3 linked regions of the Notamacropus eugenii genome follow. The protein of the gene in region 1 purifies or fractionates together with the protein of each later gene. This does not show direct contact. Links are inferred from orthologs where the notes say so. Each region holds a gene or a part of one and is shown on either strand. Other genes may lie near its edges.

Region 1 (10,100 bases):
AGTTTGCAATTGGTTTACTTTTTGAACATTCAGGTAAGATGACTGGGCTTTTTGTGATTATGTTAATTGTTGCAGGAATGGAACCCAATCCTTAACACAAAGGAAAAAAACAAAACAGTTGCCTGCCCTCAAGAAGCTTGCTTTCTATCCAGGGTCAGTGTAAACGTAGGAACAAAGAGAAGATTATTTGAAGTAAATACAAAGTAACAAGAGTTTTCTTTTTTTTTTGGAAGGGGGAAAGGGTAAGAGGGCCATTAGAAGTTGGGAATGGAACAGGAAAAACCTCAGATAAGAGAGGGTACAAAATCTTAGATTCAAACTAAAAATTAATTTCTTGTAGGAAAGGGATAGTTGGTGGTGGGTGATGGGCTGGGTGCAATCAGGAAATAGTTATATTTTGTTTACCCTAGAGATAGTATGAGTAGAGAACATTGAATATAGTTGAAGGGGCACTGGTGACAAACACATAGATTAAGAATACAGCTCATCTATAAAATGGGGAGAGTCTCCACCCTGTCTACCTCCTTCAACTGTTAGAACCAAATGTGATGATGACCACTATGTCATTGGAAAACACTGTGAGTCATTTTTTAGGACAGGACTGTTCTGTCTCTGAAATCTGGTTATGATCCATTATGAGTGGAGACTGGATTTGAAATAAACACCCAAGACTGAGGTTAATTGAAAAGAAAAATAAATGGATAGGAAGAGATCCTGGGAAACATTATGAGCAGAGCCAGCCAGCACAGGAACATCATAAATGGAATACCCAGGGGTACAAGGGGCTTTTCATTATTTTTTTCTGGTGCTGAATCTGCAGACAACTTAGTTTGGCTTTTCTTTCTTTCTTTCTTTTTCAGGTGAGAAGTGTTATTGCAGAAGTAGGGGAAAAAATAACCCAGCTTAAGGTGCGATTCTGCAGCTGTGCAGACTCCAGGCATTTTTTTTAACTGTTTAAAATTAGGATGAGTGAGCTCTAGAATGAAGAAGGAAGTGACGAGGAGAAGGCCGGAGCAAAGCTCGGAAGGAGGTGTAGAAGGGAGTTCAGGTGAGGGAGGGGATTATCTAATTTCTCCTAGACTTGTGTTGTAGTGGGATAGTCTGAAGCAGAAGTGCCAAACTGAAAGCCAGCTCTGCAAACACCCCCTCACCACACCCATGGGTAGGCGGCTCAAACTTCCTTATTTCTGGCCCCAGATGCCTAGTGCCTTATCCACTGGGCTATGAATGTCTTCTGAAGGTCTGATTTTCCCAGTTCTGACACAGAAGTTATTCCATATCCCTAGAGTGAGGAAATTCACCCAAATGCTCAATCACCCTCATTCTTGGCTGATTTCTTTGCCTGATTCTCTGTTTGTGACCTCTCTCTCTCTCTCTTTCTCTCTTCCCCCTTCCCCCTTCCCCCCTAGTCTGTCTCTCTCCCCTACCCTCTCTGTCTCTTCCCCATCCCCCTGTCTCCTCTTTCCCTCTGTCTCCATTTCTCCTCTCTTCCTGGGGAGCTGTGCTTGGAGTTCCAGGCACTGAGGGTTTTTGCACCACGATCCATGCTAAGTTGGAACCAACCTTGGAGGCAGCTCTTTTCTGGGCCTCTGACCTTTTACCCTCTGGTCAGCAGTGTCAGTCCAGCTCCCATCATTTCCTCCCTCTTCTAGGCTGGAACCCAGCCCCCACTTTCTAGGTGGCTGTCACAGATGCCGTTTTGTTTCTGTTTCAAAAAAAAAAAAAACAAAACAACTAATAGGAGGGACAGTAAGGTAGCCCTGAAGTCAGGAGGACCTGAGTTCAAATATGACCTCAGACACTTCCTATCAGTGTGACCCTGGGCATGTGACTTAACCCCAATTGCCTCAAAAACAAAAAATAAAAAGGTGACTACAACCTTGCTTAGTGTATTACTGGACAACTATATCAAGCTCAAATTCTACTGAAGGTGTACAACATACAAACAGGAAATTATATAGGTGTCCATCTGAAGAGGATTTTAGGGAGGGTAAGGCAAGGTTTCCCACAGGACTTGCTATCCCAGTTGCTCTGGTTCTAAATCCAATTTCTCCTTCCATAAAACCAGGCTCTGCCCCTCAGAGAACTTAGATTCTTTTCAGACATTAGCAGCACCCATGCCAGTCGCTACATCTAGCAGTCAGGATTATGGAATGATTTTAATTGAACATATCTCTCATTAGAATGGAACGTGGGCATTGTTTTGATTTTCTTTATGACCTAAGCATTTACTACTACTACTGCTACTGCTAATACTGCTGCTGCTGCTGCTACTACCACCACCACCACTGCTGCTGCTACCACCACCTCCACCTACTGCTACTACTACTACCACAGCTACTACTACACCTACTTTATACCAGGCACTTTTCAAAAGGTTTAGGAATATTACATCATTTCATCCTGACATTTTACCGATGAGGTAATAGCAAACAAAGGTTAAGTGACTTGCCCAGGGTCACACAGCTAGTAAGTGTCTCAGGCCCGATTTGGGAGGGAACGAGAGCCGTTCTTTCAGTTTTGTCTTACAAACCCTCCTTGAGGTCTAGGGCTTTTAATAGTAGGAGCTTGACAGGCTCCCAGATTTTAGAGCTGGAAGAGACCCCCTAATTCTGCAGAAGGGGGAATCGGGCTTGCAGGAGGATGAGTGACAGAGCTGGTATTCCAAGCCGGGCAGTCGTTTCCAGAACCTAGAGCTTGGAGGGACCTACGGGACCGTCTATTCCGAAGAGTTAAATTGGGCTCAGAGCGATGTGTCCGAGGAAACTTCAGATGTGAAGATGTCAGGCTAGGGGAGCTGGCCCTGGACTCAGGAAGACCCGGGTTCCGGTTCTGCCTCAGACACCTCCTTTGCGACCCTGGGCAAGTCATTGGACTCTCCCGGCTGCGTGGGTCCCCGGTGCTGGGAGCAGGGGTGGGGGTGGGGGGGTGGACAGCCAGCTGCCCCAGGCCTGGAACTGCCTGCGCTCCCTCCTCATCCTCACCTGGGGCCCGGATGGAAGTCCCAGCTAACCAGCCGCCCCCCGCAGGAAGCTCCCCCCACCCTCCTTCATGGCAGGGTCTTCGCTCCGTGGATCATCCCCAGTGCGTGCAATCTAGAGCCTGCCGCACGTTTGCGGGCCGTTTGCGAGGAGCTGCGTGCACGCGGAGTGCCCGAGGGCCTGGAAGCCTCTGGAGGGCAGGCCAACCCCCGCCCAGCTCCAGCCCGCACACCCGGCGCGGCTCGGAGCCACGCCTCTCCTCGCGAGCTGCAGCGTAGGCGGGGCAGGGGGCAGGGCTCCCGAAGGGGCGTGGCCGAGCGTGTGCGTGCGTCGGCGTCGCGAGGGGCGGTGAGGGGGAGCGCCGCACGCCGCCGGCCCCGCCTCTTCCCGCCCTCCGGGCCCCGCCCCCCAGTGACGTAAGCACCCAGGCCAGCCGGCGCCATTTTGAAAGTGGAGCCGCTCGCCGCCCGCCGCCGCCGCCGCCGCAGCCACCGGTGCCGCCGCCGGGGGGGAGAAGAAGAGCCGGGAAGCCCCGGAGCGCCGCCCCGCCCTCCCGTCCCGCCGCCCCCCGGCCCCGCCGCCCCCCGGCTCGCGCCCGCGCCCGCGCCCGCAGGGGCCCCCCGCGCCCGGGGAGGGCGGCGGCCTCGGCCCGGAGAGCCTGAGCAGCCCGGCGGGGCCTCCATCGCCCGCGCGCCATGGCAGGTGAGAGCGGGAGCGGGGCGCCCCGCGCCCCCCCTGGAGATCCCCCCGGGGGCGGGGCTCCCGCGGGCCCGACCGGCGCCGCCATCTCCGGGGCCCCGGCCCGAGGGGCCGTCCCCGCCCCTCCCCCACCCCCGCCCGGCCCGAGGGGAGGGGGAGGGGAGGAGAGAGGGGACCCCTTGGGGTGGCCTGCCCCTCCCCCGACCCCGAGCCGCGGCCCTGCCCGCGCCCGCCGCCCGGCGCGGAGGAAGAGGAAGAGCGGGAGCGGGACACGCGGGGACCCGGCCCGGAGGCACGAATGGGCGTGGGGGGCTGCTCGCCCGGCGCCCCCAGGTCCGCCCTCCCCCCGGCTCTCGGGATGGGGGGGCGCTCCTCGCACCTCTGCCTAGAGAGAGGGAGCCGAGGCACCTGAGGAGGTCCTGGGCCATTTTACAGAGGAGGAAACTGAGGCCCAGCCAGGGCCGCGAGCGTCGAGCGTGGGGGGCTTGCGGAGCCCCGGGAGGTCGCGGGCTCGGCCGACCTCGGGGACCTGCGGCCGGCAGGCTGGCCGGGAAGCGCGCCTTTGTAGCCCGGCACTCGGAGGTCACGCGTTCCTCCGGAGGTGCCCTCCCTCCGAGACGGTCCCCGCGTTGTCCGTGGTCTCCCGTGGATCCGCCGGGCCTCGTGGATGCCCGACCTGACCGCGGAGGCCGCGGAGTGGGGCGGCCCCAGAAGCTCGGAGCCCCGAAGGTGCAGAGGCTCCCGGGCGGAGGTCACGCTGCTCCAGCGCCTCTTGTGTTAGACCGAAGGAGGGGGAGGCCCGGCAAGGTCCCCTCTAAACGTGGGCCAGCCCCGGACTCGTGCCCCCGAGGGGCCCGGCCGGCCCGGCCTCCAGCCCCCGGGATTGTCAGGCCCAGAAAAGTCCCCGTCGAGATGAGCCCCCTGGTCTTGTAGATGAAGCAGTCCAAGCGTGGTGCCAAGGGTGGAAAACGAACCCAAACTTTCATCTTTGCTTGAAGGAAGGCCTGTGCCCGTGCCACTTGTGTCTCTGCCCCTCTCCCAGGGGTGGGCGTTTGGGGGGCTGGTTCATGGAGTTCAGTGGTTCTTGTGCTTATTAGTTGAGCAGTTCGCTGAGAGCCAGTGGCGGAAGAGAGAATCACAGTCTAAGAGCTGGAAAGGCAGAGTAGCCATTGATTCCAATCTGTACGAGCCTGTATTGGAAAAATGAGATTTTACCTACTGACATAGGAGGAAGAGGACTTGGTAGGTATGGGGAGCATCTTCTGTTAACGAAGAGTGGGAGTGCAGAGAGGAAAAAAAGAAAATACATTTTTTTCCCCCAGCAAATTTCCTGGGTCTGAAAGATTTCCGTCACTTAAGAGAATCAGGAATAGACCATTTAATTGTGTTACCCTTTCTCCTCCACAAGTTTTCTTCACTGTGCTTCCATCTATAGCAGTGTGAAAGACAGAAACATCACAGACTGAGCTAATTCTTTATCTCGAAATCCAGATGGATTTTTGCACTTCAGCTTGTATTTTCTATTTTTTAATGTGTTGGATTGAACTTGTGATTTTGCTAAAAAGCACGTTGCTTTTTGGCCTTGTTAATCTAGTAAAATTAAAACTGTTGCACAAGATGGTAAATTACATCTGTTGCTTGGCCCTTTGGATTCTGAGGGGTGGGGTGAAGGAAGAAAGAAACTTCCTTTTGACAGCCTCTTTAGCAGCATTCATTTCAATTACTTTTCCTGTATGTAATGAATGAGTGATTGGCTGGCAATGAAATGTAGAAAAATGGGTGGTGTTTTTGGGGGGAGGGGAAGGTGTTGGTAGCAAGGTTCAAATGAATCACCATCTTTCACAGAGCCAGAAATGTTCCTGAAGTTGTCACTTCGTGCAGTGTTTCATGGTAGTTTTAGTTTATTAACTGTAACACGGGATATTGTCTGCAGATTTAAAAAGAAAACCACTTTAAAAATGGTTTACTTTTTTGTATTGCTTTCTGATCTTTCTTAACTACATGTGATTAGCATCGTTTTTGGAGAGGAGGTGAAGATTAAAGAACAGTTTTAAGCAGAAGTGCAGTGTTAGTGATCAGCCAATGAGTTCATGCTCTTAAAAAAAACTTAATTCCAACATTAAAAAAAAACTTCGAAGACAGTTTTTTTAAGTGATGTACTTTCTCAAGGGTCCAAAGGCACAAAATTGGTCAAGAACTGTTTTAACAAACTAAGTCTCAATAACTTTTTCTTTGTAAGTAATGAGTTATGACTTTTTTTCTTGATCTTGAATCTAGATCTGATCACAGTAGCAGAAAAAATTCCTAATGATGTTCTACTACAACTTTCTCCAAGTTGGAGATTTAGGGGCACAGAGGTTCTCTGAGTGGGCAGCTGTCGCTAGTGGTGCTGTGCTGACCTTGGACACTAGCTCTCTGTTTGGGGTGGGGGAGTGAACAAAACTCAGACATGATGTTAATGGGGATTGTTTTTCCTTTTAGGAGCTGGAGGAGGAAATGATATTCAGTGGTGTTTTTCTCAGGTGAAAGGGGCAGTCGATGATGATGTAGCAGAAGGTAAGAATATTTTTTAACAATGGAAGTTGAATATAAACTAAGCTGGATATTCTTTTAAATTTTGATTCTGCAGAAATAGTTCTTGCAGATGATGGCTAGTAAAGCTGTTGGTTGTGTGAGAGCCTGGGCCAGCCTCAGGGGCTCTCTAGTTGGGGCTTGCTTGGAGGGCAGCTACCCAGAGCTCAAGGAAAACCTCTGACTCGGGCCATAAAAGCAGTCCTTTGCTCTCTATTCTGGGTGCTTTGTTTTCATCCTCCCACCCACCTGCCTTGTTAATTTAAGAAAATTCATGACTTAATGTTAAAATGAACAGTTCACACAGAACTGTAGACTTACAAAGACTTGGGAGCTCTTTGTTGTAAGTAAGCTTTTTGCTGCTTGATTTTCTTCGTGATACATTGTACTCATCTTGAAGGTTTTTTAGCTTAGACAAACAAGTGTGGAAACTGTACTTTTGAAGGTTGACTCTGTTTCATACATGTACCAGTAAAAGTTTTTTTTTCTGTAATTTTTTCTTTCTGTCATTAGAGGAAGTTTTAAATATTGCTGACTTTTTATTTGTTTTTGAAGCTAACTTTTCATATTAATGACCAACACAAGTTCTCAAAAGTAGACCTTTCAGATCCAAAGTTTTCGTTTGTCTCTGGAAAGTATGAAAGTATTTCTTTGTGTGTTATCAGAAGCTCTAATTTGATGCCTGTTTAATAGGATCTAGATGTTAGTTTTGCTACACATTTAAAATTTTTTTCTAATTAGAAATCTTATTTTTAATGAAGTGCAAGAAATTGGCAAGCCTTTTGTGTCTAGTGTGAATCATTTTCTCCTTCTCCTGTGTTCTCCCTTCACGTAAAAAGAGGGCATTAATGGACTTTCCTATATCCATATCTGCATGGTTTTTCCCAGGAGTTGTCACAGATTTGTGTTAAGCCAGCCCTGGAGCTTTTCCTCTCAAGTTGTACCAGTGGGGCATGCTTTAATGATGTGGCTGGCCAGGGTTAGGTGGAGTCCTGATCATGAAATGGATTTTTCTTTTCGGGAAGTCAGCTGGCATATATATTATTGGCACCAGGTTCATCTTAGAGTGCTTATGCTTCAAAGTGGGCTTTGCCTTCAGGGAAGCTTTTGTGGGAGAGGTGGCATTTGAAGTGGATCTTAGCAGCTTGAATGAAAGCCCTGAGCTAGGGAAGGGAAGGCTTGACCAGGAAACGTCCCTGCCTGGGAGTTGGGACTCTAAAAGGGGTGGGGTACTGTTCATTTGTGGAAGTCTTTCTGGAGCAGATTAAGGCATTAGACTATTTGGCAGGTAGTAGGGAGTTATTAGAGAGGTTTGATCTTCACAAGGAAGGCCTGTTGGAAGGGGGAGTGATGTGGGGTGGATGGGTCTATTATAATAGGTCGCACCTTTTAATAGCAGTCTGGTGTCTAAAATAAATGAATTCTCGATTTCATTTGAATTTAATCTGAGTATTACATGTGTTACGTATATAAAATATCTGTCTCTTAACCTTTAGATTGGGAGAACTGAGGACAAATGGATATTTAGAAAGCCATATCACAATATCTTGTTCTAATGCTTTATATTAAGATAAAATATGGTTTCCATTTTCCTGTTTTTCAGATGGATGCTATTTTATTTTGTGGGTGATTCTGTTTGCCAGGTTTTTGTTTTTTTTTCCCCTTCCTTAAATTAATATTATTCTTGCCTGCTGGACTTTTCATGCGAAACGATTTTGCCTCAGTTTCAGTCAACATTTTATTTTGAAAATAAAGCCGAATATCAGGCTTTTTGATGTATATGTTCTAAGGGACTGTGTTATTTGAAACGGTCATTTAGGTCTTGCTTGGGTGCTAACTCCTGTGTCAAAACAATTTGCCAGCAAAAGCAGCATCATTAAGCAAGGTCATGTTTTATATCTTTTGCTTCTTATATTGAAATTGGGTTCTAATTTTTTCTTACTCAACCTTCTGGGAATCGTGGGTTTGTTAGTAATATGTGGGGATGCCAGCTACTCGTTAGGGTTAAAATTGGGTTGATGCTGCATATGAGAAATTAAGAGGCTGTCTATTTTTGGTTCTGCACTTGCTGTGTAACCTTGGGGGAGTTTCCTCATGAATTAAATGAGGAGGTTGGAGTAGAAAATCTTTTCCACTGTCTAATACTAAATAATAATTCACATTTATGTAGGACTTTAAATTTGTACAAAAAACTAGATTTCCAAAACAATGTAAAGTAATAAAGCTTGCCTTTACTTTTCTGATAGACTTAGTGAATTAAGAGTCTCACGGTAATCTCATTTGTCACATATTTTCAAAGTGAAACCCACATACAGTTTGTGTCTTATCTAAGTCTGGGTATGTCCTCACCCTCTCATTGAACTTCTTTAGTCTCTTATTGAATTTTTTTCTGCAGAGTATTAGGGTGTGTTTTTTTTTTTTTTGAAAGGGGATAATATTTTTGCCAAGTCTCAAAACAAGTGATAATTGTGTACATAAATGCAGGAGGAAGAGTTCTTTGTTGATACACATAACCAATTACTGCTCATTGAAATAACAAGTTAAAATTTGTCACTCCCTGCTTAATGATCTCCACTGGCTCCCTATTACCACTATGTCTAAATCCAGATCTCACTGACGCCGTATCGTGTAGCTGGAATGCTCCCTCTCACCTCCTCTTCATAATAGCTTTCTTTTAAGCCTCAGCTCACATGTGACCTAGATAAAAGCTTTCCTCATTCCCCCCCCCCCCCACCTTGTATATATTTTATATAGTCTCACCATTTTCTAACCATGCTACCTTGTGGTGATGTGCCCTCCCTCTCACCCCGCCTTCAATTCCCCTTTATGTGATAGCTTCCCAAATTAGAATATAAACTCCTTGAGGGCAGATACCATCTTCTTTCTACTCGTATTTCTGTCTCCAGTTTTTAACATTGTTCCCAGGTAGTCAGAGAGCAAGCATTTATTAACGATCATATCTGTCGACTGTGTGCCAGACACAGTCAAAGAATCCCTAAACATTGGGATACAAAGCCAGGTAAAAACAATCCTTTCTCACGAAAGGAGCTCACATTATAATGGGGAAGACAATATGTGGAAAAAATTCGTGGACCAGATAAAGGCTGAGCGAATGGAGCAGGCTGGAGACAAACAGATGAGGTCTTCTTAGGACGTTGGAGCTGAGTCTTGAAGGAAGCCAGAAAGAATTGATCTCTAGGTGTGGGGAAACAGCCAGTGCAGAGGTATGAGGACTGGAGATAGGATTGTGCTTTTTGAGGAACAGCTAGTAAAATGGTGTAGCTGGATTGTGAACATGTGGAAGAAAGCAAAGTGTAGAAGGCTAGAAAGCGCTAGTTTGGGAAGGGCTTTAAATGCCAAACAGGATGTTCTATCTGATCTTACTGGTAATAGGAAACCAGTGGTTTTTATTGAGTAGGGGCTTCCAGGGTCAGAGCTCTGCTGTAGGAAAATCACAGCAACCAATTAGAAGGCTACATTTGGAGGTGAGTGGGAGCCTGCCTCAGAGTGGTGGTGGGCAATGAGGAAAGAGAAGGAAATACAGAAAAACGAGTTGGGGAGGTATGAGAGAGGCCTGGAGGATAACCCCAAGGTTGCTGGTCTGGGTGACTGGGAGGAGGAAGAGGATGCCCTTGCTTACCCTGAGGGAGTTTGGATGCAGGGAGGGTATGTAGGTGGGGGTGGGGTGGGTGGGGTTCTGTTTTGAACACGGTGAGTTTGGGGTGACTAAGTCACCTAGTTTGAAATGTCCCTGAGGCAGTTAGTGATGAGGGCCTGGAGCTCTAGAGAGAGAGGGGGGTAGGGCTGGAGTGGAAGATCTGGGAATCATCTGCATAAAGAGAGTGGAAC
Region 2 (10,213 bases), on another chromosome or scaffold:
CTCTCTATACATACTAGCTATTATTATTATTATTTCTATATAGAGAGGCCTGCACTGGGTGCTGATGGAATATAAAGACAAATAAGAAATGATACACTTGGGTTTATGTGACTAAGGAAAAGGGGAATAAGGTTGAAACACAGCTAAAGTAATAAAAAGTACTCAGAAAGGTCACTGGAAAAAGGCAATCACTTTGAGCTGAACAAAGTAGACATTTGTCTTAAACTAGTAGTTCATATGCATCACAAATAACAAATTTGTTATTGGGCAGCTGGGTGGCTCACTGGGCATGGGGTCAGGAAGACTCATCTTCCTGAATTCAAATCTGGCCTCAGACACTTATTAGCTATGTGACCCCGGGTAAGTCAATTAATCCTTTTTGCCTCAGTTTCCTCATCTGTAAAATGAACTGGAGAAGGAAATGGCAAACCACTGCAGTATCTTTGCAAAGAAAACCCTAAATGGGGTCATTAAGATTTGGATATGATTGAAAATGAGTGAACAAAGGCAGCTAGCTGAAACTCTATGAAGTGCTTACTTACTATGTATATACTGCTATGTGCTTGCTGTAAAGGATACAAAGCTGAAAGAAATAAAATGAAAATAGAATAGTCCATCTCTTACAGAGGGCTACAATTTAATGGAAGCACTAATACATGTACTCAAATAACCATAAACTGCTCTTATTAACAAAATAATACCTCATGGAATATTAGTGAAAATTATTTTTGTAATAATTATAAGAATCATGTACAAAATATCAATCTCTAATATAGACTTGCCAAGAAAAGCCTTGAACTTCAAATTTATTCAGTAATAAACATCTAATACTCAACTAGTTTTTCTTCTGACCTAAGAGATCTTGTTCTTTGGGCACCAGGCTAATCATCAAAGTCACTATGAAATTCCATTTTAATTCCCCTCACCCTTGTAGAAGAAAGCAATGTTGCATTTATACACAACTTGGGAAAAACATTAGCGTATGCTCCAGATAATTAGAACAACCAGGTGGCTCAAGTTTGTTCCTTAAGTATTTTGTGAAGAAATCTTTACAAATTTATCACATATTTTCTGTTTTCTTAAAAAGTGTTATTGGGTATAATTCAAACCATTCTTGATGATTCTGTGTTATCATGTGAACATCCATCATCAGATAATTTTGTAGTATAGTCTTGTGTATACTTTAGTTTTTCTGTCTCTTTTTTCCATTTTACACCATGAGCTGTCATGGTGCTTGCCTCTATAATACATGCCTACTGTCCAATTTTGCTATCATCAAATAACTAGGCTTGCTAAGAATTATTTTTAATTTTTTTTTTAAAAGAAGTGAATAAGAGGTGCACCTTAGGCATTATCTTGGTTATTCAAGCGTGTGGCTTTAGTACAGAGGCAACTGCTAGGGGGCTTCAGCCCTTCAGGACGCCAAAAAGTGTTTGCGGGGTGAGTGGGATACAGGACATCTAATATATTATAACATACCAATTGAACACTCAAACACTGACAATAAAGATAAGAAAACATTGTATAAAGACTACTAAAAAGCAATTCCATGGAACAAAACAGACACATTGTATAATCGTATTTGCTGTTGTTTTGGGTCTAAAGTTTTATAGTTATCCTTAACCAGAAAAGGAAAATCTTTAAATTACTTCTAGGCTAACACCAAGAATTTTTTTTTTTTTTTTGGTAATTGAGTTATAAACTTCCCTGCAAAATATCCTATCAATGTACCCTTCTGTATTTACAGGTCTAATTCAATAGAGTTCAGTTATTAAATTACCAAGGACTCAAGAAAGTAACATTTCAGCTAATTTAATAGAACAATTTGTACATGAAAGATTATTCTATTTGTTTGACCACCATTTGAAAAGATTAGGCTACACAAATCACAGCATTAAAGCCATTAGGTAGAGCAATCTTGTTCTAAGGTACTGGGAATGAAGTTAAAGTAATTGGTAACCATAGAAAAAGTAGGAGCAAAGCCTTTGATTCTATTCCTAACTCAATCTGTGACCTGGGGCAAATTACACTTCCATTTCTGTTTTCCTGACTGTACAAGTAATATAATAGTGCTGTTTCTGCTTGCTGAAATCAATGGCCAGGAGTTACTAAAAAGCTAATTCTTATTTCAAAAAGCAGTGATAACATTCTGAAGTACAACAGGCTAAGAATAAATTAGCAGCTCACATTTATACAGTGCTTTCAGATATGTAAAGTTTGTCTGTTAGATAGGATTCAAGAATTATCCACATTTTACAGATAAAGAATCTGAACTTCAGAGAGGTTTAAATGATTTGTCCAGGGATAAAACCAGTGAAAGTTTCTCTGGCTTCCTTCAAGACTCAGCTCCAATCCCATATTCTGCAAGAAGCCTTTCCTCTAAGACTATCTTCTATTAACACATTATGTCTTGTATGCACAGAGTTATTTGCAAGTTGTTTTCCTCATAAGAATGTGAGCTCGTTGAGAGAAAGAACATAGCTTTTGCCCTTTTTATCCCAAGTGTTTAAACACGCTGCTTAGCTCGTAGTAAGGGCTTAATAAATGCTTGTAGACAGCAGAAGTCAGCATTCTAACTTGGATCTCACCTGAGTCAACGTCTAGCACTCTTGTTTCTTTAGCACATCTCTTCTGACAAGAATAATTTTCATAGAACTCTCAACTTTGAATCTCTGAAAATCCTTATCAGATTAGGTAGAACCTTTTAATATTTCTCTCTAAAGAAGCAAAACAGAATTCCAAATGAACTAAATTTGGCTGTTTTTTATTTATCTATTGCCCTCACTTTTACTGCCCCTCAATACTAATAAGGTTTCCAAACATTAAATTCAATAAGCATTTAAGTTCCTACAACACATAAAAAGTCATACTAGATTCTGAAGGAGAACCAATACCACATACAATGTGGTTGTTTTACCTTCATAGAACTTATGGGAGATATGTGCCTGGTAGACATGGCACACATACAACCATGATACAAATAAATGGTAAATGCACTCCAGAGGTCTTATGAGAGAGAAAGAAAAGGTCTGGGATGGATAGGAGGTTGACGAAGAGAAGTGGTAGAAACAATCACAAAGACTTCAAAGAATGAGTAGAAATTTTTTTCCAAGTAGGAAAAAATTTTAGTAACAAAAAACAATAATTATATTAATACAATCTATTAACCTTTACGTCATTACTGGTTACTGGTGGCAAGCTCAATATGTTTAATATCCTTATGGTGAAATAGTGTCTGCCTTTGAGTTTTTATTTCAGCACTAGAGTTTAAGAAAAAATAAACCAAACATCAACTTTAATAGCTCACATGTCTGAAACGTCGTTATAAGAAATTAACACCTAAGAAACAGTGGCCATAACAGTTTCTGCATCGTTATTAATCTCTAAACTTCTTTCCCTTTCTAAAATTCTTTAATTCTGAAAAGGCCAAGATTCCTCTTTAGTAATACCTAACCCACCCCTTTTCCTCAACTAGTTCAATTGTGAGCACACATCCTTAACCTCCTAGAATTTATTACCTTTTCTTCCTTAAGTCTTATGATTCCAAAAAAATTTTCAAGATCAGGTATCCCACTGCCCTCAACATCTATTTTTTTTTTTTAACATTTGTTCCTAACCTACTCTATTCTCGTTCACTTCTCCAAAACTCTATCCTAGTAGAGTCCACACCCCCCAACCACCACTACCTACCCTTCCAAGCCCGCTCCTCCCGCAATCACTACGGCGCCATCTCCCCTCCCGATCCGACCTCAGATTCACACTCCGCACTCTAACTTGAGTCAAGTTCCTTTCAGACCTTCCCATGGCCATTTTTCATTCTCCGACACGTCTCCTTCGTTACTCTGGTCCAGGGCTCCCAACTCTTCTTCCCCGGCGCCGCTCGCTTCCCATCGCGGGCCCACCCCGAGCCCCTCACCCTCATCGGTTAACACTGGCCTCCCCTCCTCGTTCGGCTTCCCTCCTCCCCCCGCCCCATTCCCACGTACCCCGCCCCTTCCCTTCCGTGGACAGGAGCCTCCCATCACCCGTCCCTTCCCCAACGCCCCCTCGGGTCACCCCCCCCCAGTCCCCACGAGTAGCCCCTCCCCCAGTCTCTCTCACCCACCCCTCCCACCTACAGCCCCCTCGGGTCGCCCTCCTCTCCCAACCGTCCCCTCATCCCAGGAGACCTAGCTCTCTTTTGGGGCCCAACTCGGGCCCAGCCCTGGTGCGGAGCGAAGGGAGGCACGTACCCCATGCGCAATTTGGCTCCGCTCTGGCCGCCCCCGCCGCCCGGCAGGGGGGGGCGGGAGGGCAGGCGGCCCAAGTGCATGGTCTTCTCTAAAGCCGACATGAAAGGAGAGGAAAGCAGGAGGGAGGCCGAGGCCGCCGCGTGTCCCGTCCCGGGCCGTGTCGTGCCCGAGCGTCGCCTCTGGGACGAGTCGACTTAGACGGAAGCCTAAGCGACTGCAGGACTCAGCTTGCTTGCCTCTCAGTAGCCCTCAGACAGCCTCTGGACGCCGGCGGCACCTCCTCCCGCCCACTAGCGCCCAAACCCCTCCCCTTGTCGCCTAGCCTAGCCACTCCTCGGCCCTCGTCTCCTCAGCGACCTGGCCGGAAGTGCGCAACCGATCTCCTGCGGAGGAGCCTGGGTAGCAAAGTGGCGCACGAGCCCGACGCGAGAGGGCGGGGTCCGCGTAGCCAATGGAGTCCTCCGGGAACCGTCGGTGCTACGCCGGCGCATTAGCTCATGTGAGCCGGGATGAAGGAGAGGCGGTGTCCACCGGAGTACGGATCCCGTTACCATAAAGAGAGCGGGTCGCAATGCATCCTGGGCTTTGTAGTTCTGGGAAGAACCAGCCCTGACTCGCCTTCCTTACCCGACCTCGAGAGCTAAGACTTTTGGTAAGAGAGAGACGGCCGCCTGTGGCTTCCCTGAGTTTCCCAGGAGGCCCTGCGGCGGCGACGGTTGCGAGGGAACGCGCGCGCGGAGCGGCTGCGTCTGCCTTGGCGGGACGCTCCAGCCGCCCTGGCGGAGGGGGACGCGGCAAGGGGGCTGTTGGGGGTCAGCGGCTCCGGCGCCGGCGCCTCAAGGACTGAAAGCACCGCCTCGCCATGAAACAGCGAAAGGGCCCGGCCGCTGGAGGCGGCAGCAGCCGCAAGAAGAAAGGTAACCCCGGCTGGGGTGGGGGGAGGGCGCCCAACGCGGGGCCGCCCCGGGGAGAACGTGGAACCCCGGGTCGTGAGGAGGGGTGCAGAGGGATGCCTAAGAGAGGTTGGAAGGAAAGGAAGGGACGCGGGGGCTCCCAGGGAAGAAGGGGGACCCAGAGAGGGAGGAAGATGGGAAAGACAAACTTGGGCAGATACGAGGGGTGCCTCCGACCCTCGGGTCAGGTCAGGAAACGCGGGAAATGGGGCACCCCTAAGGAAATTTGAGAGAGAGAACGGCATCCTTAAGGGGCGGGGGCGAGGGGAGTAAAGAGGGAAAAAGCCCGAAAAGTCAGCCTCCGGGCCCGGCTTCACGGCTGTTCAGTCATTCCTGTCCTTCTGACAGCTCTTTGAGTCTGAGTTGTCTGATGGACACGTCTGTATATGCCCTGTTAACTAGAAAAGGCCGGAAGGAGTTCCTTTAGAAAGCCAGAAATGCGAACCTACAGAGATGTCAGAAAGAAGGATTCTAGTCAAAAGACAGCTTTACCTTGTAGAGCGTGACTGTTGGAGGGTGTGGGGAGAAGCAGTCTTGAGGGTCTGCAAGGGAATGTTTGGTCACCTCCACTCTACCCCTCACAAGTCACTCATCTGTGCAGATGGCTTCTCAAAGATTGCTTTGAACTTGTCTTTTTTCTCCAGCATAGAATAGAAAATTAATAAATGGTTATTGAATTTGACACAGAAAAGTCTAGAGAGTGTAAAAATAACTTCTTGACTCTACAGTGTTATCCTGAGAAGGGATTTCAGTAATAGAGATTTAAATTGGAAGTTGCCAGGATTAGTACCATAAAGCCCTCTGTAGAATCACAACTTTTCAGAGTTGGTGGAAGCTTCAGAGGTTTTCTAAGCCAACAGACATACCTACCTGAATGGGAATCGCCCCTGCAGCATTCCCAACAAGTAATTATCTGACTTTCACTTAACTGTGTCCAGGGATGAGAAACTTCTACCCTTGTGGGGCAGCCTGGTGCACTTTGGAACAGCTTTAATTTTCGTAAAGATTTATTGTTGTTGTCCTTTTTTTTACATTGGACCCAAATCTGCTTCTCTGGAACTTCCACCATTGTTCCTATGTTAATACTGGAAGGAACCTGGGAAATCATCTCACCTAACTCCCTTAGATTGTATGGGTAATAAGCCAAAGAGGAAATTCAGGGGCTTGCCCCAGTGATGAAGTTGATACTTGAACACAGATCTTCTGACTCTCAAATACAGTGTTCTTTTTTCTGTATTAGGGCAGTTGCTGGCAGAAATAAAGGTTCTCCAGTTGTTACATAGTGTCTTACTTGCTTACCTACTCCAAATTCTGATTTATCATTCCTTTCCTTTTACACAGGTCTAAGTGATATTTCACCATCCACGAGTCTACCACCTCTGGTTGAAGGTCAGCTGCGATGTTTTCTGAGACTAACCATTAATAAAATACTCTGGATGGTTATGAAGCCTCCAACTCCTGTTCTCATCCGAGTGAGGTGGTGGGGGGAGACATCCGATGGAACAATATTTTGTCCCAGGGATGCTTCCCTGATTGAACAAAAAGCTGTGAGAACAACAACCCGTTATCCTATTCGTTGTGGACCAAAGCAGTTTACCTCTTATCTAACAGGTATGCTTATCTCATCCAAACTTTCCCTCTTAGTCGTTCACCCTGGCAGTTTGTTTTATACATTTGCTTATTTTCTGTTTACATGTATGTCTCTTTACTAGAATATAATTTTCATGAGATAAGAGTTGGCTTACCTAAACCTTCTGTCTCCCAAAGTACCTACCACAGTACTTTATACTAAGTAGGAACTTCCTAAGTGTTTATTTAAAAAAGTATTATAAACAGGACTTTTTTTTGTTGTGCCCAAGAGGCAAGGGAAGAATGTATGACAGTTATAAATAGATTGCGACATACTATTCACAGTCTTTGAAGCTATGCCAGAAACGGTGTAAACAGAATCATGAAAGACATGACTGACTGGAGGAGGAAGTCTCATCATGTGGTGAGAGTAAGGAATAAGAATGAATAGCCTGAGTGCTGCATTGATACGCATAAAACAGTGTTAAGTCTACAAGAAGACCTCTAAACCATTGGGCACATCCTTTATGGAGGAAGGATTTGAAGAAAGACATGCATGAGATGAAAATGTGGAGGAGTTGTGATATGTGTTCTATTATGGAGTACTTTTCCTAGATCCAATGAAGTATTTTTCATTGAGGTTAAGCATTTTAATCAAATGCATTCTCCATATGAGGGCTGGGGAAAGAGTAGAGAGAAACTCACCCCTAAAATCTGGAGTATATTTTGTCCCTAACTTAAGTTTATGAAACCTATCTTATATATTTCCCTGACACAGTTATGTGCCTATACCAGGGGTGGGGATCCTGTGGCCTCAAGGCCACATGTGACCTTCTTAGGTCCTTGAGTATAGCTTTTTGACTGAGTCTATGTTTTATGGAACAAATCCTTTTATTAAGGAGCTTTGTTCTGTGAATTTTGGATTTAGTCAAAAGGGCTGCACTTAAGGACCTAGGAGGCCACAGGTTCCCCCACCTGTGTAGGCCACCCCCACCATCTGTGGCCTACACAGATTATACACAAGATTATAGTGGCAGAAAGTGCTGAAATTCCTGTGTTTTGGGTGGAGTAACAATAGTTTGGCTAATTCCTATTGTACTGGCAAATGTTATCCCTGGATTTGTATGACTATGGGCAAGTCCTCTGGGGACCTGTTTTCTCATCTGTAAAATGACAATGTTGGCTAAGAACACAAATTCTTATAGGTGGAAGGTTATCATAGGATAGTAGAGTATTAGAGCAGGAAGGGACTTCAGAGGTTATCTGATCCACCCTAAGATCACAGAGATGAGAAAATTTACCTCTAAGATGTGTTCTAATAAGGGATTTCCATCTTGAATGGATCGATATTACTTTGGGTTTAGAGTATTTTAACTTTCCTTCCTCAGACTAGAGCTGTGCATCAGTCATCTGGATTCCCTAGTTGGCAACTATTGAGAAAGAGTTAGAAAGTGGGTTTCCCCACATTCCCCACCAAGGCTATTGCCTTGGACTCATTGCACTCTGAGCAAGTTAAACAGAAGAGGATATGGAGGCAGGGTCTGGCTGGGATTTCTGAGCTGCTTATTTGTGGCTTCATTGAGGAAGGGGAGAAAATAATGTTCTGTGGACTCATATCCTATTTTTGGTCTTGACTTGTGATTTCATTAGTATAGTAGGCAGCCGTCCAGTACTACAGCGCAACAGTGGTAGCACTACTGCTATTTGTTTTGCTGAGGCAGGTCAACACTTTTCTTGGGAGATCTACTGTCTTGGAGAGTTTTCTGTAGTGCCAAGAGGTTTGTCTGGAGATGCTACTTTCTGCCCAATTTGTAACTTGAACCCAGACCTTCCTGTCCATTAGACTACACTGTCTCAGGGGACGAAAGTAATCATAAAACGCATTTCTTTTCCAATACTTTATTCTTGGGTCCATCCTGATCTTCTTTTGTTTCCAGAAATTTTTTTGAAAATATTTTTTGGAAAATAGCAGTACTGCAGACCTGGAAGGCAATTGTACTGGTTTTCAAAAAAGGGAGGAGGATGGAGTCTTCAAACTATAGGCTTAAAGGTGTGATACTTAAAGGGATGTATTGATTATCATGTCTGAGAGTAGGTCATACCAAACTCCTTTTTTTTCTTTTTTGACAGCATTACTACACTGTAAAATCAACAATGCCACAGACATAGTATACTTGGTATTAGCAAAGTTTCTTCTTTCTATTCCTAGTCTCTCACTAATCTCTAACTGAAATTTAGCATTACCTTCGATTATTTTTTCCAATTTAATTTTTTGGTTTTTGTCCAATTACATGTAAAAACAGTTTCAACCTTCCTCTTTTCAAATTTTGAGTTCCAAATTCTCTTCCTCCCTCTTCTTACCCTTTATTGAAAAAGCAAGCAACCTGACATAGGTTATACATGTGCAATCATGCAAAACACATTTCCCTGTAAGTCATGCTTTGAAAGAAAACATAGACCAGAAAACCGACTGCAAGTAAAAAAAACTATTTTCATTCTGCTTTCAGGCATCTACCAGCTCTTTCTCTGAAGATGGACAGTGCATTGCATCGTATTTTCAAAATCATTTTAGGTCATTGTATTGTTGAAAATAGCTAAGTTGTTCATAGTAGATCATCTCACAATATTGCTGTTACTGTGTACAGTGTTCTCCTGGTTTTGCTCATTTCACTTTGCATCAGTTCTTTGCAGGTTTTTCTGAGAGCATACTGCGGGTCGTTTGTTATAGCACAATAGTATTCCACTATAGTCACATAAGGCAACTTCTTCAGCCATTCCCCAACTGATGGACATCCCTTCAACTTCCAATTCTTTTCCACCACTGTAAGAGCTGCTATAAATATTTTTGTATATATTTTTGTTTTTTATCTCTTTGGAATACAGACCTAATAGTGATATTGCTAGGTCACGGAATATGCATGGTATTATAACCCTTTGGGCATAGTTCCAAATTGCTCTCCATAGTAGTTAAATCAGTATACTTCATCACCAGAACATTAGTGTTTTAATTTTCCCACATCCCTTTCAACATTTATCATTTTCCTTTTTTGTCATAGCAGCCAGCCTGAGAGGTGTGTGGTAGTAGCTGAGAGTTGTTTCAATTTGCATTTCTCTAATCAGTAGTGATTTAGAAAATTTTTTTCATATAACTATAAATACCTGATTACTTTGAAAACTGCCTATTCATATCCTTTGACCATTTGTCAGTTGAGGAGTGGCTCTTATTTCTATAAATTTGGCTCAGTTTTCTATGTATTTGAGAAATGAGGTCTTTATCAGAGAAAGTCACTGTAAAAAATTTTTTTTCACAATATCGATTACTATTTCCCTCCATTCCATTTGCCTCCTGTTTATCCTGCTCTCTCTCTCCTTTCACCTGGTCCATTCTCAAAAGTGTTTTGCTTTTGACTTTTACCTCTCTCATCTGCACTCCTTTTTACCAGCCTCTCCCTCCTTTCC
Region 3 (10,345 bases), about 410 Mb from region 1:
TCAGAAACATTGGTATCAAACTCAGATAATCCTTGCAGGGGGCATAGTGACTTAGAAAACAAATTAACATAATCTCTGTTGAACTGCATTTTTATTTTGCTAAAATATTTCTCAATTACATTTTAATCTGATTCAGACCTCACTTGGACAATGGAGGAGTTTTGAAGGTAGCAAGTTTGACATCTCTGCTTTAGAATAAGCAAGAGTCCATAGGTGTTTCTTTTTATTACACCAAGCACACTGAAGAGGAGCTTGTGAATTTCTGAAAGCCAAGCTGTTAAAATGCAAAGGTCTTTAGTAAGAAAATTTCAGATCAGAAATATAGGTAGCACTCTACAGTAAATAGTAAGTTGATTACCTATAGTCATTGCTGCTATCCAGATAATCCAATGAAGACAAAAGTTTATAGCTAATAGTGTTTAGATGATAGTAGCTGAATCCCAGAGCTAAAAGGGAGCCTTCCTAGAAACTCAATCTAGCTTTTATCTTGGTTTTACTTGTACAAGTACAATCCTTCTCACACCAAATTGTTTTAAATATTAATCAAGAAAAGACAATAACTGCTTTAGCTTAAAATGTGAAAACAAGAAATTGATTTTTGCTTCTGTGTACTCTAAATCCTGCTTTATTGAAAAAATGTTTTAACCATATTTGTGCACTAAAAATGAAATATGGAACTGTATTTTAAGTCTACTAAAAACAAACAAAAAACACTATCAGATAGTTCCAAGTACCTATATACTATTATGAACCCAAAATCCATATATACTGTATAATATACATTCAACATCTATGTATGCATCCAAAGGTCATATAAAAAAATAGAGATATGTACTAGGTGATCCAATGTATATATCATTTATAAAGTCTGGTAATTAGTTCCTCATATACTTCCCGAATTTTTCTTTACACCTTGTCACTGTCTGAAATTCTATCAGTTGGAGCAGTCTTTTTAATAAATGAAGATGTGGTATTGATGGGGTGGTTGAGGATTTTTCATTCACACTTTACTATGTCTTAGTTCAGACTCTTTCCTAATACTTACCTGAGAAAACTTAGAAACTTACAAAAATAAGAATTGTTTTGGGGGTTGAAGTTTGTATCTTTGTAGCAAGGATTACTTGGGGAAGCTAGGGCAGGCCTGGGTAGGGTACTGAAGAGGGGAGAGGGGAAAAGCAGCATGAAGACTAGCAGCTGATTACATGATTAAAAAGGGATGTACATAGAGAAGTGAAAAAATCTTACATTATTTGCTTTGAATCCATAATACTCTATATCACATTCTACCTAAACTCCACGAAGGGGCTATGTCTTATTTGTTTACAGCAATAGCTAATGCTTATTTTATAGCACTAACTATGTGCTAGACGCTATGTCCAAGCATTTTACAATTATTATCTCATATTAATATTATTTAAGTGGCATTTTATTCTCAAAAATCTACTCCAGAGGTAGAATCCAAGCAACAATCACTAGCCATAAAAAAGGTGAGTTAGCCACTTGTGGGATGTTGATCCATAGCTATAGGTTGTCTATCAATTGATATCAGGAATTAAGGCTTTTTTTTTTTTCCCTAAATAAAACATGACTTAAAATACTCCCAAATCAAAAGCTACTAGCTTTTGGATTACCTATACTAATGATGGTTGACCTACTGAAACACCAGTATCTGATTTCTGAACTTGAATTTTGCAAGTAAATCATAATAGAGTCTTAAAAGATCCAACCACTCTGGTTACTTACCAAGAAATGAAAATTCATTTACTCATTTAATAGGATAAAGGTTGAAATAGAACCCACTTAATAAGCATATTTTTACTGAAAGTTGAGGCAAATGCAATATTATCTGGAAAATGACAAAACTTACCACTCTTTTATCAAAATAAGAAAAATCACAGCAACTGAATTAATCCCCCCAGCTTCTCCCACATGTGACACTAGAGGCTTCTAGTTTTTCTCTAAATATAAGATCATGTAAATAAATGTTGATTTCAGTGCTACATCTTAAAAGTAATGTTGATAGTAACTGTCAGCAAAACAAATTATAAAACAAAAAAATATAGCTAATATAAAAAAATTTTTTTTAACCTCTGAGGGGCAATGCGGCACAATGGTATAGAGGAACTATGGGCTTTAAAGCTAAGACTCAGGGTTCCACCTCTGTTTGACACATATTGACCGTATAATTCTGAGGAAATCACTTAACATCTCAGTGCCCTACAGAACTTTCCGAGACTTTAAAATTGAAAAGAAGCTACTGACTCTATTGGTGTTGGGAGTTTCCACACCTGTTTTTAAAGTATGGTAATTTATTCCCACTAGTCTAACTTTCCCAGAAAAAGAAAAACCTATCCATCTACTGGTTGTGACACTCAGAAAACTTCTTTTTGGTCTAATACTTTTCTGGGACACACTACAATAGACTGATGATTTCTCCTTTAAGTCTTTCATTTTAGTCAGAAAAGCAGTGGGAAAATTTACCTTACTGCCATTTTCTGGAAAATTTCCTACTCTCACTAATTACTCTTTCTACATGTTTCTACAGTAGGACAAGGCAAGTGGAGACCAATAAAGATAAAGTTTACTTACCAGTAAATGTTTGTGAGAACTGTCCTCTTCCCACATCCTATTTCCCTCCCTGTCGTCAGTCTCCATTTGACTGGTCAGCTTAAACAAGACTGAAAGGGAAGTAGTAGGTACAAGCACTAGATTTTTCAACCACTCATGGTGGAATCTGTACTTCCACATATATACTAACACAATAGTAACAGTGCAATTGCTTCCTACTGTAGGATGGGGAAGGAGAACTGTTCCATAAAATTTCAAGTAATTAATTCTTTTTTTTTTAAAGCAAAATTTAAAAACACTCAAACTGAACACTCACCATGTCACCATCTGAAAGCAAGCCACGCCTTTTACTAAAATGTTTCATGGTTGATCATCATTCTCCATAAATTTAAGATGTTTTATCACTTATACTTTTAAAAAAGAGTGGCTAAAATAAAGAGGCAACAGTCCACACCATGTGAGGTTTTGCTAAGTGCTGCTAAGATGAAATTCAAGTTTCCCACCGCAAACATTACCCATTTCTTTCTCTGCAAGGAATTCAAGGAAGAAAACTTACATAATGGCATTTTTTTGATGAATAGAAGGATTGGTAGGATGACATATACAAGTCAGTGTTTAAAATCCAAGTCAGTTGTGTAATATAGTCCATATAGGTCCCCAATTAACCATCAAATAAGCTATTTTTAGGATTGGTGGGTTTCACTGTCAATTTCAGCAGGGTCTGAGTATTAGAGAGTTATGAATAAAACTACCATCTTATCCTAGAAGCAGCCTTCCCATTTCTGGTCCCGATTTGATAATTTCTTTTTCCCCAAGCCCATCTGAGTCAATAGGCCAAGTGTTTCAGCTTCCCAGTGGCAGCACCTCCTTTACTCACAGAAAGCTGCTGTGAGGAACAAAAAGGTTGTTTTTTTTTTTTTCAAAGTATTATCTTGACTTCACAAGAAATGATACAATACCTTTCATTGACCAAATAAAGGCTAAAAACTCCTGTGCCAATTAATAAAATTCATTGAAGGACTGACAGAATGATGAAATATACCAGGATTTTGCCTGTGGCACCTAGAATGTGAGATTAGCAACATCCAATATAACTTTTCTTTTTTAACACTTCAAAACCTTTCCTTCTTTGCAAACTTTAAAGCCTGCTATAAATGCCAGCTATTACGATTATTGCTGAGAAGTCAAAAAGGGTTTGGGGAACCTGGAAAGGGTCAACAGATGAAAGAAAACCAATCACCTTAGGCACTCTCACCACCACCACCCTCCATCCACAACCACCACCCTCTCCCTCCACCTCCACCACCACCACCACCACCATCATCACCCCTCCACATCTCCCCACCCCACTCCCCTCAATCACGTATTTCCACGAGTCATTCGTTGCATTTTGGGAAGAAATCTCGCAACGCTAATAAACCAACTCGACCTTGGCACTAGCGATTTAAGACGTCACCAGCGGCTCTGGATGGAGTTACAATGGTTGGTAGAAGTGACTTTCCATTACTCAAAGTACGCTTCCTCCTCCACAGCGGGAAGTTGGTTCGGCCGCGGAGGCGGCCCCGGGGATCCATTTGAAAGTGGCGCCGCCGTGCGCCTCGGCTACGAGGAGGGGCCTTCTCGGCTGGGCTAGGTGGGCTACACGCACATATATATAGGGGAGGGGGCAAGAAAGAGGGATGGCAAAGAGCGACGAGATGAGAGAGATCGATCTACGAGCAAGTAGGAAAAGAAAAAAAGAAAGAGGGGGATTAGCTAGGAAAGAGCCGGTCCGCGGCAGGCGCCTCGGCCCCCGGGGCCCGGGAGGAGCGAGCACAGCGCGGGAGCGGGCGGGAAAGGCGGGGGCCGAGCGCGGGCCGCAGGACCCGGGCCGGAGCGGGCGTCTTTGTGCCGCCAAGGCCGGCGGCTCGGGGCTCGGCCACACACAAAGGCCAGGCGGAGGCGCCGGGGCTTCCCGCCCCGGGTTCAGGGCCTAAGAAGCCCAGGAAGGGAAAGGGGAGAAGAGAGAGGGGGGAGGGGAAGGGCAGGAGGAGGCCGCGGGGGGAGGGGGAGCCGAGCCGCGGGAGCCATTTTGATTTCCCGGACCGGCCTCCGCCCCCTCCAGTGGCGGCAGCCCCCATCACCGGGGTGCCCCATAACCCCCGACCCCGTACACACACCCAACCCGGGGCGGAGCGTCCTGCCCCCGCAGAGGCCAAGCTCACCTGAAGCCGCCTCGGCCGCCGTTCTGGCTCCGGGCTCCAACTCGGGGGCCCCAGTTTACTCACAGCTTGAGCTCCCAAACCCGCTCCAGCTCCGACTTCTCGCAGCGCCCGGGGAAGGAAAGCAAGGCGCGGCCCTCGAGGAAGGAAAGGGGAGGAGCGACCGGGAGGGAGGATCCCGGGGGCGGAGCCTGGCGCTGAGTGACGGTCCCCGCCAGCGCCTCCACCATTCACCTCCCACAAAGAGTAACCATGGTGACCGCGGCGCTGCCGCGGCCTCTGACTGGCTGAGAACCCAGAGTTGGGAGGCGGGGGAGTCTCCTGACTTCAAATCCCGAGGGCGTGGGGGAGGGTACGGAGGGGGTTGTAGTTCCCGCTCTCCTGGTTTTAAGGCTGGTAGGCGGCTGTGTGCTCGGGCTGCCCAGCGCGGACGCGCTGCCCAGCTCCTCCCCTGGCGGGGTTCCGGGGACCTGCTCTGGCTTGTCCAAGCCGTGGGCCGGACGGCTGCGGCGGTTGAATGGACCGGTGGCCGCGCTGCCCGCGCTGGGGTGGCAGCGTGGCGTGATGCATAGAATCCTGGACCTGGCATTAGGACGACGTGAAGCTGTGAAACGGCGGACAGGTCCCCGGGCTTTTCGGAGCGCCAGTTGCCTCGTCTGGAAAAGAGGGATAATACCCCTCACAGATGTGTTGGAGATTCCCCGAAAAAATGCATATAGTCATGTTACAGTTACTAACCTTCTCTGGATTTCTGCAAAAAATGGTAAAGGTTTTCTGTGAACTCGTGCACCCCTTTCTCCAACGCAGGTGACACCTCCTCCAGCCCTTGGCCCTTGTCTTTTCTTTAATCTAGCCTGCTGCTTGCAGTGTGGCAGTCTGCAGACCTGTCCTGTCCATCACGCACCAGTCTACTGCCTGGGAGTAAAGTGAGAAAATATCCTAGTCTCCTACTCTGGGCTCACTGGGAAAAGGAGGAACATTGTTGCCTTGAACACTAAGGATGCCATTCCATCTGCTTCGGTCTGCCTCCTTCAGGAAGAGGGAAAAGACCCTTCCATTGAGCACCAAGAACCAGAGTGTTCCATTAAATCTCCACCTTTGATGCCCTAGGGGAAGGGGAGTACCATTGTCTTTAGCTCCCAGCCCTTACTTATACCCTCACCTGAACTACTTAAGTTCTTGAGAGGACATCACACCATCAAGGCCAAATCCTTAGGAAAATCTAAAATCCAATGATTACAAACTTCCCCCCAATATCTCCTCCCTGGTTCTCAGACTCCTTTCTCCTTCCTGATCCCTGATTTCTCATTCCCTTCAATTCATCCTTTCCCATCTCAGTGTCCAACTTTAAATCTACCTTACCACTTCTGCTGTGCTACCTGGAATGCCTGCTCCACAGCAACAAACTTTGCTTCCATCTTAAAATTTTTCCTTTCCTACTAATCCCAGTTTCCCACTGTCATTGATACCTGGTTACCTCCTGATGACACACAGCCTTTCTTTTCAGCCATGGTTGCACTTTTCACTCCTTCCTCCTGATTCACCAGTCAAGGTGATGGGAAGTTGGAATACTTATTGTCCCTGCCATCATCCCTTAGTAAGTCATTTCTCTTCTTCGAGGTTCACTTTTTCATCCTTCCTCAAACCTATGGCTCCCCTTCCTTCATCACTCACTCAGTGCACATCCATTACCTAATTAAAATCCTAGCAATTGTTTGCCAAACTCCTGGACTAGTCTCCTTGTTTCTTCGGTAAGCTCAGTGCCTGACTTGGTCTTTCTTGCATCCCATTCTCCTGCATTGATCCTAGGAGACTTTAAAAATATATATATTTGATGCTCCCTCAGACATCCTGACATTTTAGTCCCTCAGCTTATTTCACATAGTGTGCTCCTCCATCTCACCTCAGCCACACACAAAGATGATCATACCCTTGGTCTTGCTCTCCACCCACAAATGGCACCACTTTCATGATCATAAACTCTGACATTCCCTTATCTGATCACGGTCTGTTGTCATTTCACCTCTGCTTTTTAACCCCACACCATGAATGCCCTCCAGTCTCACAATTCCTCAGTTCTTTAGTTCTCTGCCAGACTGTCCTGGCTACATTCTCCTCCTTTCCTCAATCTCCTTGGTACGATCTTCCTCTAGGGCAGCGCTTATTAAACTGTGGGTCAACACCTCCTATGGGATCCAGTAAATGAATGGGAGAGTCTTCATAAATTTGGCAACAGTGAAAGGTTTCTAAACACACTGACCAAAAATTAATTCAAAATCAAACGAGTAATGGATCTGAGGTGTTTCTGGCAGCATTTGCCCCAGTGCATCTCTCAATTTCACTGCAGCCTTGGTTCTGAACATACAACATGTGCACTTTGCACTGTGAATTTTGAAATACACTACAAAAATCAGCAGCCTATGACTTTTGATTCAGCTATATTACTACTTAGTCTACACTGTCATGTAGGATATAGATCAAAGATAAAGTAAAAGGATATAAATGTCCAAAAATATTTGTAACAATTGTTTTCTTTTGTCACTCAAAACTGGGAACTGGGATGGGCGCGGTACCCTCCTTTTGGGAATGACTAAAGAATTATGCTCTATGTTGTATCTTAAATGGACAACTTCAGAAGACACTAGGAAGACTTCTATGAAATGATGAACAGTGAAGTGATCAAAAATTAAGAACAATTTATATAATGACAACATGATAGAGAAAAAAACACCTTTGAAGGCTTTAGAACTATGATCATTGCAATCATAAACCATGAGTCCAAAGGACTGAAGATGAAACATTGCACTTACCTCCTGCCAGGGAGATGCGACATGCATTTTGGAACATAGTGAAGGTGAGAATTTGTTTTGCTGGACCATGTATCTTTAGAATAAGGTTTTTTCTTTCTTTTCTGTATCTTCAGTTTGGAGGGTGAGGAGGCAGATTATAAATGTATCTGTGTGTGTATGCATGTGTGTTCTCAGAAATGGGCCTACCCCAAGATTCCAAGAAATAATGACACTTGACTTTGTTTTGAGTGAGGGAGGGCTGTGCAGGTCACCAGCCTCACTTCTCCTCCAGAGCCATCTGAATCCAGTGACCAGATATTCACCAGGATGAGGCATTTGGGGTTAAGTGACTTGCCCAAGGTCACACAGCTAGTGAGTGTCAAGTATCTGAGATAAGATTTGAACTCAGGTCCTTCTGACTCCTGCACTGGTGCTCTATCCACTGCACCACCTAGCTGCCCCATAAATGCACATAAAAAGCTGCAAAGCAGTCCACTTGGGAAGAAGCAGTCTCCCATGTGAGAGAAAGTGAGAGAGAGATCAAGTGTTTCATTAAGAATGTTATATATTGTGTATTATTAAGCACATATTATTTGATACTAAGTATTATATATTAAGTATATACTAGGTGCTTTCTATGTTTCTGGGACATTGTGAAAAACTAGAGTTACAAATGCCAACAATGAAGACAGTACCAGGCCTCAGGATGCTTATGATAGGAAAAAGACAGTAATTAGATGGGAGATGGAAAGCGAATGGGGGAGGTTATGAAACTAGTGTCACATTATGAGGTAGAGGCTTGGATCTGGAGGCAAGACAAGGTAGAAACTTGCTTATCCAAGCCCAGGTAGATTTAGAAGTAGAATCCAAGATCCTGGTAGAGAGATAAATAGAGAGGAGAAAGCTTGGTGTGCAGATTGCAGGGAAATGATGGTGACAGTTGAATAATCTTTTTTTCCCCAGGTGTAATTTTTTTTACTCTGTATGTCCATTTTTTAGTGTAAACATATTGTAACTACAATGTGAGTCTGTTTTTCTTTTGGGTCTTGTGAAGCTCTAATAGAGATAAAATCTTAATGGGAAAAAGAGATAGCTATATTTGGAGATTTTCCTGTAAGGTAGGAGGGGACATCATTTGTATGATATGCAAATTATTCTTTTACATTTTAAAACTATAGACCAGCTGGTATTTACTGCAGCTGGGATGACTTACTGATTATCCTATTTGAAAGGGAAGCTGCAAATTCTCTGCTTCTTAAACCTACCTTTAGTGATGGGGTTTCCTCATATCATGATTGTGTGAAATATCTCTTATCTTTACATCTCAGTACATGATTTGTAGCCATATAGTATAATCCAGAAAATAATGGAATTTAAAGATAGGCTCTTGAGTCTTGGAGAAGTTTGGGATCATTGAAAGTATGTCAAATACAATCCAGTTTGATCTGTTCAGTTCCCAGTGTAGCTAGTTGCCACTCTTCAGTCCCTATGTCTCTAAGATCTATGTGTTTTTGGACCAATTACTTCAAGTATTTTATCTAGATGATCAAAATTTGGTCTGAATGTTAACTTGCCAACAATATTTGGCCCAAGTAAAGGTAGAGTGTTTGAATTCTGTGCTTATACATTCAGATTTAACTAACATTTGTGAAACCTGTAGCCTGAGCCCTGGGTTTCTTTAACTAGCCTCAATTTGAGGGGCTTATTGAAATATAAAATAAACAAAAACTTGTCTGGCTCATTTGCCACCTCCCAGAATTTCCCCTGGGAATCTCAGAATTTGTAGTTCCTCTCTATTCTGGCACCAGTGCTTGCCAGGTACGGCTTGGCTGAGGCCATAGAATCTGGCATCTGGAGTCAATACCTTGAAGTTTGCCCAGGATTCATTGTTCCAGGCTTGCTGATTTTCTCAGTAGAGTAATTAGGCTCCTCAATGCTTCTTTTCAACCTCACCTCAGATTCCCGAGGAACAAAAATTTGGCTCTAATCTAGGATCTTCTCCCAAAAAAGGGAGAACTAAAGGAAGTACCCAAGTACTCAACATGAATCAAATATGGAACAGGTAGTTTTTTTCTCACACAGGAAAAGGAATGCTAAGCAATAAGGAATGAAAGAATGTTTAGAACAGAATTAAGTAACTTATCCCTACTAGTTCAGTCACTTGAGAGGCTAATGTTTAAGCCTTGTTAGGACACATTCAGTTTCTTTGTGAAAAGCCCATGTAATTCAAATGAGGAACTAAGACCCAAGAATGTTGCTTATTACCCAAAGTCACACAAGCAATAAGTACGAGAGACAAGTAGGATTTCAACTGAGGCCCTCTTTCTTCAGTGCCAGTGCTTTTTCTTGTCAATAGTATAGTGGATAGACAACTAGCCTCAAAGCTAGAAAGACCAGTTTAAGTCTCACCTCTGACACATCCTGTCTCTGTGTCCCTAAGTTGCGGAGAAGGAGTCAGATCTGCCATTCGAATGTCAGAAGGGAGTTTCCTCACCTGAGAGTTCCCTGTACCACCATAGTCACAGGTCCAATTCTTGTTCTTGTTCTTTGAGAGGACTTCTAATTATTCACTGTCTTCCTCATTAAAATGTAAGCTCCTAGCAAGTAGGATTGGTTTCCTTCCTTGTGCTTCTACCCTAGCACTTGGGCTATGCCTGGCAGCTAGTAAGTACTTAACTTGTTAATTGGTTGACTCATTACATTTTACTTCCATTGAACATAAACTAATCACGAAGTGCAATGTTTCTTGTTAATTTCTTGTTAATTGATTGACTTATTACATTTTAC

Evidence for each region.
Region 2: the proteins of PPP2R2A (region 1) and PPME1 purify together in Homo sapiens (affinity purification with mass spectrometry; 3 studies listed by BioGRID and IntAct, with this or other methods). This does not show direct contact. The link is inferred for Notamacropus eugenii from reciprocal best matches to the Homo sapiens genes PPP2R2A and PPME1.
Region 3: the proteins of PPP2R2A (region 1) and CDCA4 purify together in Homo sapiens (affinity purification with mass spectrometry; 4 studies listed by BioGRID and IntAct, with this or other methods). This does not show direct contact. The link is inferred for Notamacropus eugenii from reciprocal best matches to the Homo sapiens genes PPP2R2A and CDCA4.

Annotation. Positions count from the first base shown.
Region 1 is NC_092872.1:744,062,466-744,072,565, forward strand, and holds the start of PPP2R2A (serine/threonine-protein phosphatase 2A 55 kDa regulatory subunit B alpha isoform), read left to right. Parts: upstream 1-5,410; 5' UTR 5,411-5,533; coding exon 5,534-5,570; exon of another isoform or gene 5,571-5,914; intron 5,915-6,161; coding exon 6,162-6,236; intron 6,237-10,100. UniProt on the Homo sapiens protein: Substrate-recognition subunit of protein phosphatase 2A (PP2A) that plays a key role in cell cycle by controlling mitosis entry and exit. Involved in chromosome clustering during late mitosis by mediating dephosphorylation of MKI67.
Region 2 is NC_092876.1:131,096,500-131,106,712, forward strand, and holds the start of PPME1 (protein phosphatase methylesterase 1), read right to left. Parts: upstream 4,948-10,213; 5' UTR 4,334-4,947; coding exon 4,233-4,333; intron 3,990-4,232; exon of another isoform or gene 3,811-3,989; coding exon of another isoform or gene 3,749-3,810; exon of another isoform or gene 3,691-3,748; intron 1-3,690. Other genes in the region: C2CD3 (C2 domain-containing protein 3), read left to right, coding at 5,095-5,149, 6,527-6,796. UniProt on the Homo sapiens protein: Demethylates proteins that have been reversibly carboxymethylated. Demethylates PPP2CB (in vitro) and PPP2CA. Binding to PPP2CA displaces the manganese ion and inactivates the enzyme.
Region 3 is NC_092872.1:335,158,578-335,168,922, reverse strand, and holds the start of CDCA4 (cell division cycle-associated protein 4), read right to left. Parts: upstream 4,948-10,345; 5' UTR 4,773-4,947; intron 4,687-4,772; exon of another isoform or gene 4,281-4,686; 5' UTR 2,749-4,280; coding exon 2,590-2,748; intron 1-2,589. UniProt on the Homo sapiens protein: May participate in the regulation of cell proliferation through the E2F/RB pathway. May be involved in molecular regulation of hematopoietic stem cells and progenitor cell lineage commitment and differentiation.